3 linked regions of the Arabidopsis thaliana genome follow. The protein of the gene in region 3 interacts with the protein of the main gene of each other region in a pairwise test. Each region holds a gene or a part of one and is shown on either strand. Other genes may lie near its edges. The genes, in order: FES1, AT5G61920 and FRI.

Region 1 (3,753 bases), on a different chromosome or scaffold from region 3:
TCCTTTACTTGACAATGAATCATTAAGAGGTCTGTCTCCTAGATTCTCTATATCCGTGAAAGGATCGTAGAGGGCATCAGACGAGGGAAGAATATAAGGTGGAATTGTAAAAGATGCTTTAAAAGGTTCAGAAGGTTCCCAGTCATCTGAAGAAACTTTCTTTTTAGTGCTAGTAGTGTTGGCTTCTGCGCCTTTATCAGAAGAAACAGCTACCCCTTGCAGCGTTGGAAGTGATCCGGATCCAGATAAACTATTCCCATTTTCAAAATCCCCCACCGTAGAAGCACGATCATTCATAGGAACAGAACTGGATAATGATCCTGTCCAGGCTGGTCCAGCAGATCCCATGTCTGTTTTTAAATAGGAACTGATAGAAGGTCTATGCTCATGAACAAAGCTGCTTCTCAATGCGAAGGAATTGGCGTTATTAATAACTAGAGACCTGTTGTCAGTGAAATCAGCACCATACGTTTGCTTCAAACTCTCTCTTCTAATGTTTTCAAATGAAGGCATAAAGCGCATCTCGTTATTGAACGGGAAAACTCTCTGAGAACCTGGGGGATTCACAAAAGACATGGAGGAGAAAACTCTCTGAGGATTCATGAAAGATATATCCTCTCTGGTAGGCAACGATGTCACACCGTTTTCGCTTAACTGGGAAACTCTTACACCTTCTCTGCTGTCCAAAATTCTTCTTTCTGAATAGACATAAGCAAAATAAATTATTGGTTGATTCAGAAAGAGTAATTAAACCCCATAGATATTCACCGGCCTCTATATTGTTGGAACTACCTCCACATAGAATCACAAGAATAAGTATTCATGGTACAACGTACCTAGATCAGACCGGATACCACCGTTTCCAGCCATACTATTTTCCGCCAGTTGTTGACTAGTGCAATTTGAATTCTCTTTCACATGTAGAAACTTGCAGGACACCCCATTGAAACACCACCCTTTAGCAAAAAATTTGCAGGGAAGAGCTGCACGTTTTTGTTCTGGTTCATTCCCACCACCGCCAGTGAAAAAGCTTCTTGGCGGTATACCCGGAGCAGGAAATCTGATAACCGAATTTGTCAGTATAAAAGCTTCAACCTCTTAACTTAGTTTCAGCAAAACTTAAGCAGAAACTTTTTTGCCATACCTTGGTAAAGTACCATTATCTTGAGCAAAAGCTTGCTCCTTTATGATTTTTGATTGCTCATCTAAAGGTGTTGTTACAGAATGCCTCTTCACATCTACATGAGACAAGTTTAATCAGTACATATTAGCAAAACTGCTGTTTTGAATAAACAAAAGAGATTCCTTACAGAAACAAGCACAAAACTCTGAGAATTGAATTTGCTTACTTGGTATTAAAGCCACAATTTTTACAAAAGAGCTTCAGTGAAAATCTAATTGCCAAGTCTTTGAACCTCTAATCAGAGCTAAATCTAGTCAATTTAACAATTCTCTCTTTCTTCTAGAACAAAATTCATCAATTCCAAATTGGAAAAGGTGTTTCCATCAATAAAAACACGAACTTGACAGAATTAATCAACAATACCATGTAACCAATCACGAATTTCAAATACTAACCGTTGTGGGAATTGGAAGCTTGAATTGGTGGTTTATCAAACAATTCAGATTCTCTTACAATTGTATGTACTTGCACCTTTTGTTCGACCTCATCATCATCAATGTCCATGTCGGAATCAGACATCTTGAAGTCTTCGGCGAGGTAACCAACGCAGAGAGTGGTAAATTGATAAAAAAAAATACTGCGGCGTGATCGGGGTCCGAAGCTCGCTGTTGAGTCCTGATGATCTCCGAGAATACGTTTGGTATATCGAAACCACCATTGTTACAAAGACCACCGAACTATTTTATATCTAATGGGCCTTTCCTAAATAATTAAAGCTTTAGTATTAAGGCCCATACTAAATTCCAAATTTTACCAACTATTTCCTAAATTAACACATCGTTGCCTTTTTATAGTAACCGGATTAAACCAAAACAAAATTAAAGAGAATCGAATCAAACCGTGAAAATCGTGAAGCGTAGTGGTGCTATATTGCACGTTAACTGTCTCCATCACTGCCACTGGTAAACCCTAAGAATCCTCCGCAATTTCGCAATTTTGTGAAGGAGCCGCCGGCTAAATTTGATGGCAGACCAAAGTTCGGAGATCGTCAATGCTCTGTCGTCGGAGATGGAAGCTGTTTCCGTTTCATCAACTCAGGCATCTTCTTCGTCCGATGGATTCCAGTGAGTTTTCTTACCAATCATCAATTTTTTTCATTTTCGCGCTTCAATTTTGATTTGGATTATATTATTTGATTAGAGTGGAAGAGATGAAAAAGCTATAGCAATTTAGAAGTATGGAATTTAAAATTGAAAAGATCTTGTTATCTGCTTATTGGTCTGGTAGATATTGAAATTTTACTAATTCTTCAGGATGAGTGAAGAAGTTGAGAAGAGATACAAAATTGTTAGGAGTATCGGTGAGGAATGTATACAAGAGGAAGAGCTAAAGAATCTTCTTGCTAAGAAGGCTGCTCCGATTTGCTACGACGGCTTTGAACCATCAGGAAGAATGCACATTGCTCAGGTCTGTTAGTTTTCCTTTGTTCCATTACCATATGTGGGAAGGAAGCGTTGGCTAATCTATTTTGGTTCTGTTGTTTTCTTAATAGGGAGTGATGAAAGTCATCAATGTGAACAAAATGACTTCAGCTGGTTGCAGAGTGAAGATTTGGATTGCTGATTGGTTTGCTCAGTTGAACAACAAAATGGGTGGTGACTTGAAGAAAATCAGAGTGGTTGGAGAATACTTTCAAGAGATATGGAAGGCTGCTGGGATGGATAATGACAAAGTAGAGTTTTTGTGGTCGTCCGAAGAAATTAATTCTAAGGCAGATAAGTATTGGCCTCTTGTGATGGACATTGCTCGCAAAAACAAGCTCCCTAGAATCTTAAGGTTACTTTTCTAAATCTTCTCCATTCTTGGGACGTTGTAATTATGTGAGGGAAATGATGGGACCTGAATGACTCTGGTTCTTGTCCTTGAAGGTGTGTGCAGATTATGGGACGTAGTGAGACTGATGAACTGAGTGCTGCCCAGATCCTTTACCCATGCATGCAATGTGCAGATATTTTTTTCCTTGAGGTACTGTTAAGCCTTTGCTTGCTTATGAACTGTCTTTGATTCTGCTGCTAGTTACTCGGAATAAAAAATTTAGCTTAAGCGTTACATCAGCAGAAAGTCTATTATATTGTTGATAAAACACCTGATAAAAGCTCCAGGCTAGAAATAAGCTGTATATGATTGCAGATTTTATCAATGTAATGTTACATTTTGTGTATCTGGCTGATGAGTTCTGTGACTACTGTTAAACCATTTTCGTTACATATGTAGGCTGATATTTGCCAGCTTGGGATGGATCAAAGAAAAGTAAATGTGCTAGCGAGAGAATACTGTGATGACATAAAGAGGAAAAACAAACCGATAATCTTGTCACACCGTATGCTCTGCATTTTCCTATTTGACTTCTGTTATACCACGTTTTAACTGGTCTAGCGTGTTGTTAATCATTTATCATTGTTAACTACTTGCAGATATGCTTCCTGGTCTCCAACAAGGACAAGAAAAGATGTCCAAAAGTGATCCATTATCTGCTATCTTTATGGAAGATGAAGAGGTAACTATAACTTAGCCAAAATTCTAAGTTTACAAAAGTAGATAAGAGTTATCACAGTTGTTGACTTGTTTTG
Region 2 (3,753 bases), on a different chromosome or scaffold from region 3:
AGTTCAATTTCTTGAAGTCCTATAAATTTATACAAGAAATCTTAAAGTTCCAGATTGGTATCTTAAAGGCGTTCACTGTTCAGAATAGAACTAGCGATTGTCTATTAGCCAGATTCGTAGATTAACCCGGTCTTGTTTTTCGATGAACTGACATTGTTTTACACGAGAGGCACTAAAGAATGTATTAAGATGGCTGAAGACAGGTTGACCAAAAAAAAAAAAAAAAAAAAAAAAGATGGCTGAAGACTCTTTGTTTAGGCGGTAGAATAATCTCCTTCGTTTCTTCTACATTGGTGTTTAATTCTCAGCAGATGTTGTGATCGACCATTCAAGCACTTCTCTAACTCATTACTCTCTATCTTTTTTTCAGAAGAAACAGGTTGATATAGAAAAAATGAAAACTCATATACAGCTTTGATCCTCTTGCGATCCTTGCGGTTCTTGTGATCCTCCCTATATAGAGGAGCCTCTTGGTCAGCCTACAAAGTAAAAACCATTCAATTCTCGACAGCTTTGTTCCTTGCGGTTGAGATCTCACTTCGCAGCTTCTCAATCGCTTTAACCGCTCCAATTATCTTCCTCTCCATCCCTTTCAATTGCGCAAGTTTCTCTACGTTCCCACTCTTCTCTTCCTCGAACTCTTTCCTGTTCCATCAAACCAATTGGTTAAAAAAACTGATGATGAATCTTTAACAGTTACTTGACACGTAAAAGACAATTCTTTTACCGTAATCTCTGATGCTCCTCTTTCAACCGCTCAAGCTCTTGACTCGACGCCTCTAAACTCTCTGCCTCAAGACAAACCTTCTTCAAATCTTTCATTCCCAACTTCACCTTTGAAGCAAGCTCCTCACGTTCTCTCGCCAATCTATGAGCCTCAATGTGAGCTGATTGCACTTCCCTCCTTATATTCTCTCGATTCTTGACCATACCCTCCATTTTCGCTATTTTCTCAAGAGTCGATCGGATCTGAATCTCGTGGTCTGTTTCCGTCTTTCTGATGTGAGCTCTTAGCCCCTGGACTTCGCGGTCAGCCACGGTTAAGTCTTCCTTGAGAGCTACGTAGCTTGAAGCTAGTTTTCGGTTGTCATTAGAGAGCCGGTCTATCTCAGCAGCTTGAACTGCAATCTTGTTTTCTAGAATATCAGAAAGTGAAATCTGGTGGTCTCGAAGATGACGAGGATCCGAAGTCGAAGAAATGGTATCGTGGTGCCTCGACGATGATGATCCACTAGTTGACATACCTTGGCTAACTCGGCTATGATGATTTGAACCTATCCTCTCCCTTGAAGACATTCTGGAAGAAAGAAAAAGACAAGACTCCACTCAAAAACTTAGATTGAACAAAGAAAAACAAAGAGTTCCTTTTTAACCTAAAAACTTAAACTTTAAGAAGCGAATTGAGTGCAAATTCTAAATTCAACACTATGCTATCTTCTTTCAGACAAATTATCTATGCAATGAGATTGAGTAATCGAAGACAATGGCAAATCTGTAGACATCGTATCTTGACACGAGCTAGAAGAAAACCCAGAAAGAGGAATTACGAATTAGATTCTCAAGCTAACAACAAGACCCAATTTACCAAATCCTAAGAAACCCTTATATCATCCTTATCACAATTGGACGAACCTGAAATTCACAAAGAGAGATGATCTTCGATTAAAATTAGCTGAAACCGAACACCGAAATGAGATAAGTGTCGCAAAATTAAGAGCTTTATGCTCTAAAACCTGATCTCTAATCAAATCAAAGACAACGATCGATTCCACAACAGCACCAGCTTTGGTCTCGGCTTGTCAGAAAAAAGTTCCAGTTCTCTGTAAATTGTGATTTAAAAACCATTAAAGACGCCAAATTAGTTTCGTTTATAGATTTGGGCCAGTATTAATCCATTAAGGCCCATTAGATAGTAATTGGCCCATTTTAATAGTTTCCCTTCCATGCCTGTCACGTGACCTTCAGCTTCCTTCTCTGAAAGTCATCTTCTTCTCCCGACTTTTTTGAACAAGGGAAGAAGAATCCAACTTCATCAATTCAGATTCGCACGCTTGAAATTATCTGAATAAAAATCGAAAGCTAATAATGAGCTGATCGCTAAAAATATCTCTCGAATTCAATCTTCCTGATTTTCAATTTCTGTCTCTAGGGTTTCAATATCCGATAAGTAAGTTTTGTTCTTGCTCTTCTTACCTCATTCACATATCTCTCTTTGATTTTATTTTTTCTGAAATTCAAGAAGCTTTTTCTGTTAGATTCTCATAACCTAATTCGTTTTGAGGTATTTATTATTATTTCTTGATCCCACATTTGTTTCAATCGCTTTAAGCTCCAAATTTGTAATTTCAGTGTCATCTTCGTACTTGTACTGAAATGCATTGAAAATGGCAGAAGCGATGGAGACGGAGATGGATTTCTCAGATGGTGAACAAACTAATGGTAATTCACATGTTACTGCCTCCCAATACTTTGCTCCTCCGGGTTATAATAGAAGTCTTGTGGCTGCTTATGGGAATGGAAACACAACCATTGGATTAGAAAAAGGAATAGAAAGGAGACTAGATCATCATGAGCAACTACCTGGTTATATCTTTATGTGTAATGGGAGAACGAAAACCGATTGCTACCGTTACCGTGTTTTCGGGATTCCAAGAGGAGGAAAAGACGTTGTTGAGAGTATAAAGCCAGGCATGAAGCTTTTCCTCTATGACTTTGAGAAGAGACTTCTTTATGGTGTGTATGAAGCTACTGTTGGTGGCAGGTTGGATATAGAACCTGAAGCTTTTGAAGGGAAATATCCAGCTCAAGTAAGCCTGTGTGTGAAACACATATGATTTTGTTTATATGGCACTGCCTAAGATTGTTCTTTTCTCTATTTTCTTACTTGATTTTGGCAGGTTGGATTTAGAATTGTCATGAACTGTTTACCCTTGACAGAAAACACTTTCAAGTCTGCTATCTATGAAAATTACAAAGGTTCCAAATTTAAGCAAGAACTTTCTCCTCACCAAGTAATACACTTTTTCTTGCTATTTATAACACAGCCTTTCAAAGTTCCAGGCTTTCCGGCTTGGCTTTCAAGTTTCAATTATGATATGCTAAACAAAAATGTTCATGGATTGCAGGTTATGTCTCTGTTATCATTGTTTCGTTCATTTACGTCTCCAGAACTCGATTTGTTGCCTCATAGGTTGGCTTCCAGAGCTTCAGCACCTAGGACTCTATCGTTTGAGGAAAGGTTCATAGCGGCTACACATCTTAGAAATGCTTCATCGGTTTTAGATCCTCTGTCTGCTCGTCATGTAGAACCACGACTTGGCTCTGTTATGGCCCATCAGCCTGTTCCCCGCACATCTCTGCTTCAACATAGTTACTTTAGACAAGACGACTACACGACCCCACCTAGAGAAAGTCTGTCAAATTTGAATCAGCCTTATTATCCTACAGAAGCTCGGCAACTACGGTTGCTCGGAGACCCTTCTCGCTCAGATTCTCCTCGGTCCGAACCTCCGCGGTCATCTATTCAGGATCCTCAACTCAAATACCTCACCATTTTATCTAATATTCGGAGGTACCTATGGTGAACTTTTATCTTTGCCCAAATATGTCGATCATAGCTCACTGAAGACCTGAAGTTGTAGCCATCAGATGTTTAAAATCATAGCTAAACCTGAGAACTCTACTAGGTTCCTCCACTCTTCAGATGTTTACATTGTTCCTATTTCCTGGCTTTGCAGTTACTTATATGTGAAT
Region 3 (3,753 bases):
ACACGTTGAGTAGCCTCAAGCTCAAATGCCACAGCTTGTTCGGCCAAAACCATGATATTTGCAACATCCTCCTCGGCTTTCAATGCGCTGATCTGCGCTCTCTCGGCAGCCTCATTCAATCTATCTACTTCCTTCTGCAGCTCGTCCTTCTTAACTTGCAAACGCCTGAGTTGTTCCTCACAGCTTGCTAAATTTTCTTGGCATTCTTTTATGTCAGCCTTAGCAGATAAAAGGGCTTCCTCTTTATCTTTAACACCATCTCTAACCTCACTCTCTTCAGAAGTATTGTACCCTTCTGCTTCTAGTGATTCAAGTGCAACCTGCAGCCTTGCTTCAGCCAGAGATAATGCCATAGTAGCCTTCTGAACAGCTTCTTTAGCAACGGACTCTTCATCAACAGCCTCTTGAACCACATTAAGTGTTTGGTTTACATCGTTCCACGCACTGGCTGCTTCATCCTTAAGTGCTATCGCTACCTCTGAAATCCTCTGAGCCTTTTCTTCAAACATGGTACTGTTGAGACTAGCCACTTCCAATTCTTTAGTTGCCTTATTCAGTAGATCCCTGAGTTCCTCCAAACTAGGTGCAGAATCTTGCTCTCTTGTGTCTTTCTCTTCCTTAGAAAACGTAACCTCCCTGTCATCACTACCTTCAGCAAATTCCAAATTCCGGTCATTCCCAACCAAATCTCCTACAGAATCGCTACTTTGACAAAGTAACCTAAACCCCAGCGGAACATTTTGGGGTTTTGCAGGAAGCAAATGACCGTAAAATCTTCCATTGAAATCAGCATTCAAAGTCAAAGAAGAACGATACGATACATTTCGTTTCGATCTAATAGCTGAGCGAACTTTAGAATCAATCATCGGATCCCAAAATCTAGTGCCGCCGAGTCCTTTGGGACAGAGTTTCGCACTTATCATTCGATTCGGCAAGCAGTAACTCGCAAAATCCGCACCACCGTGAAACATACTCTGGCGCTGAACGCTAGACGCAAAATCCATATTACTGCTGCAGAAAGACGGAGAGAACAAGAGACTGACCGATCATAAGAGAAGAGAGCTTCAAGGCTTCAGCTGATGAAGAATCAATGGCGGCGAGAGTGAGTGAGAATCGAGTAGTTACTGAGAGGAAGATGAAACGTATCTCCTGAGAAAAAACGTAAGAGAGTTCCGTTTCAACAGTATTTTTCTCGGCGGTCTTCAGATTTTCCGTCCAACTCTCTCTTTCCTCTTTCAGTTTTTTTTTGCCCAATCACTCGTGGTAGGATTTTTTTATAAGAAAGTTACGAAAATGCCCTCTCGTGCTTAGAGAGATTCAATTCGTGCACATATAATATGCCGTGAATATACCACCAACTCTCTTACTCGTACTCGCATGTGGTGCGTGCAATATACACGTGGTTCGAATCAACGGCTACGTTTTACTGATAGGTGGCTCGTTTAGTTTTGCACTGCCTTTGGGTGCGCGTGACCAAGTCATTTTCCAAATGTGTTTTAATATTTGTGAACTATTATTAATAAAAAAGCGAGCGACGTTGTTCGTTGATGAGGGAGCGACCGTACGCTTGGCGACCTTCTCTGATTGCGTAGAGTCGTTTTCCTTATTGGGCTTACCTAGTACCGTCAGCCCACAATGTTTTCATTTCTTTCCCACCTAAAACTAAAAGTACTCACAAGTCACAACTTAAACCAAGTACACAAGGATTTTATCATGGGATTATCGTGTTTGAAGACTAAAAAGAGCACACCATCACCCCCATTAGTGCAGGTAGAGTAAGACAGTAACTTTTGGGTTCATATTACCGAGCAAGAACCGTTATTTGTGATTAGACATGTTATAAACCACTGCTTTAGTGACTATTTAAAACAATATATTACATGTCGTAATCATGCAACCTAACTATGTTTTCATTAATCAAATACAAAGAATAAAGAGAAAAGTGCGTAGATTCAATTATTTGGCATAGACTCAAAAGAGTGTATATATATCTGACTTTTATTAAATTATTAAACACAAATACATATTTTCATAAGCAAAACTATAAAAGCCCTAAACATATAACGATTACCTCAAAGGAAAAAGTCGTTTTCTCCTAATTAAAAGATAGGTTACTTCCTAATTAATATATAATTTATGTGAACTTCACAATATACAGTTCAATAAAATTTGGTAATTTGACCGATTTAAGGAGAGTGGAAATTAGGGCTTCTGCAATCTTTTTTCTTCGCCGCAATCTCATGTCCAATTATCCACCGACGGTGGCGGCGCAACCCACAACGACGGCGAATCCACTGCTGCAGCGACATCAATCTGAACAGCGACGAAGAGAATTACCGAAGATTGTCGAAACAGAGTCTACAAGTATGGACATTACGATCGGTCAATCTAAGCAGCCTCAATTTTTGAAATCCATAGACGAATTAGCTGCGTTTTCAGTTGCAGTGGAAACATTCAAACGCCAATTCGATGATCTTCAGAAGCACATCGAGTCAATCGAAAACGCAATTGATTCCAAACTCGAGAGTAACGGCGTTGTCCTCGCCGCGCGGAACAATAATTTCCATCAGCCGATGTTATCGCCTCCGCGGAACAATGTATCTGTAGAAACCACCGTCACTGTGAGCCAACCGTCTCAGGAGATTGTACCGGAGACGTCGAATAAACCGGAGGGGGAACGTATATGTGAGTTGATGTGTAGCAAAGGTCTGCGTAAATACATATACGCGAATATCTCTGATCAAGCTAAGTTAATGGAAGAGATTCCTTCAGCTTTGAAATTGGCCAAGGAGCCAGCGAAGTTTGTATTGGATTGTATTGGCAAGTTTTACTTACAAGGGCGTAGAGCATTTACTAAAGAGTCGCCTATGAGCTCTGCGAGACAAGTTTCGCTTCTTATACTGGAGTCTTTTCTTCTAATGCCTGATCGTGGTAAAGGGAAGGTGAAGATTGAGAGTTGGATTAAAGATGAGGCGGAGACGGCTGCTGTTGCTTGGAGGAAAAGGTTGATGACTGAAGGAGGATTAGCTGCGGCTGAGAAAATGGATGCAAGGGGTTTGCTTTTACTAGTTGCTTGTTTTGGTGTTCCTTCAAACTTTAGGAGTACAGATTTGCTGGATTTGATAAGGATGAGTGGTTCGAATGAGATTGCCGGTGCTTTGAAGCGGTCACAGTTTCAGGTACCATATTCTGTTCTCACTCGGTGAATTTCATTGCAAAGGTGGTTCCTTTTGTTGACATCATCGACCAACATCAAGTTCCATCTTTGTTTTTCGATAAGCTTGATGGTATAAACTAGGAGAGCACATCAAATATTTAGAGTGCAATGACTGATTGAGCCAAATCCTAGCTAGAAATTAATCTGGAAAGAACTTGGAACTCTCAACCATAGGTTTTGGTACGAAATTGTTGCTTGTCAGAACCAAATGATAGGCTATTGCCTTGAAATAGTGTTTCTTGTGGTTTCCAATATTGGAAGTTAAAATCATATGACTTAGCTGTTGGATACTAATTAAGCTTAAGCAATGCCAACTCTAAGAAGTGGTACTTACACAATATTCTATTGGTCATAGGTATAGTTGAATCAAGTATCAAGCGTGGAATGCATATTGAAGCTCTTGAAATGGTTTATACCTTTGGCATGGAGGATAAGTTTTCAGCTGCTCTAGTTCTAACTTCATTCTTAAAGATGAGCAAGGAGTCATTTGAGAGGGCAAAACGGAAAGCCCAGTCACCGCTGGCATTTGTATGAAC

Evidence for each region.
Region 1: the proteins of FRI (region 3) and FES1 interact in a two-hybrid assay, tested with the Arabidopsis thaliana proteins (one study listed by BioGRID).
Region 2: the proteins of FRI (region 3) and AT5G61920 interact in a two-hybrid assay, tested with the Arabidopsis thaliana proteins (one study listed by BioGRID).

What each region holds. Positions count from the first base shown.
Region 1 is NC_003071.7:14,312,865-14,316,617, forward strand, and holds the start of FES1 (Zinc finger C-x8-C-x5-C-x3-H type family protein), read right to left. Parts: upstream 1,851-3,753; 5' UTR 1,703-1,850; coding exon 1,579-1,702; intron 1,239-1,578; coding exon 1,145-1,238; intron 1,061-1,144; coding exon 837-1,060; intron 699-836; coding exon 1-698. Other genes in the region: AT2G33840 (Tyrosyl-tRNA synthetase, class Ib, bacterial/mitochondrial), read left to right, coding at 2,147-2,247, 2,437-2,590, 2,676-2,959, 3,052-3,148, 3,398-3,503, 3,598-3,680. UniProt on the Arabidopsis thaliana protein: Transcriptional activator involved in the FRIGIDA-mediated vernalization pathway, but not in the autonomous flowering pathway. Acts cooperatively with FRI (FRIGIDA) or FRL1 (FRIGIDA-LIKE 1) to promote FLC (FLOWERING LOCUS C) expression.
Region 2 is NC_003076.8:24,862,373-24,866,125, reverse strand, and holds AT5G61920 (FLX-like protein), read right to left. Parts: upstream 1,837-3,753; 5' UTR 1,633-1,836; exon of another isoform or gene 1,298-1,632; 5' UTR 1,297-1,297; coding exon 728-1,296; exon of another isoform or gene 646-727; coding exon 498-645; 3' UTR 107-497; downstream 1-106. Other genes in the region: AT5G61910 (DCD (Development and Cell Death) domain protein), read left to right, coding at 2,397-2,807, 2,898-3,011, 3,126-3,571.
Region 3 is NC_003075.7:266,786-270,538, forward strand, and holds the start of FRI (FRIGIDA-like protein), read left to right. Parts: upstream 1-2,115; 5' UTR 2,116-2,240; coding exon 2,241-3,179; intron 3,180-3,572; coding exon 3,573-3,578; 3' UTR 3,579-3,745; intron 3,746-3,753. Other genes in the region: KEA2 (K+ efflux antiporter 2), read right to left, coding at 1-1,004.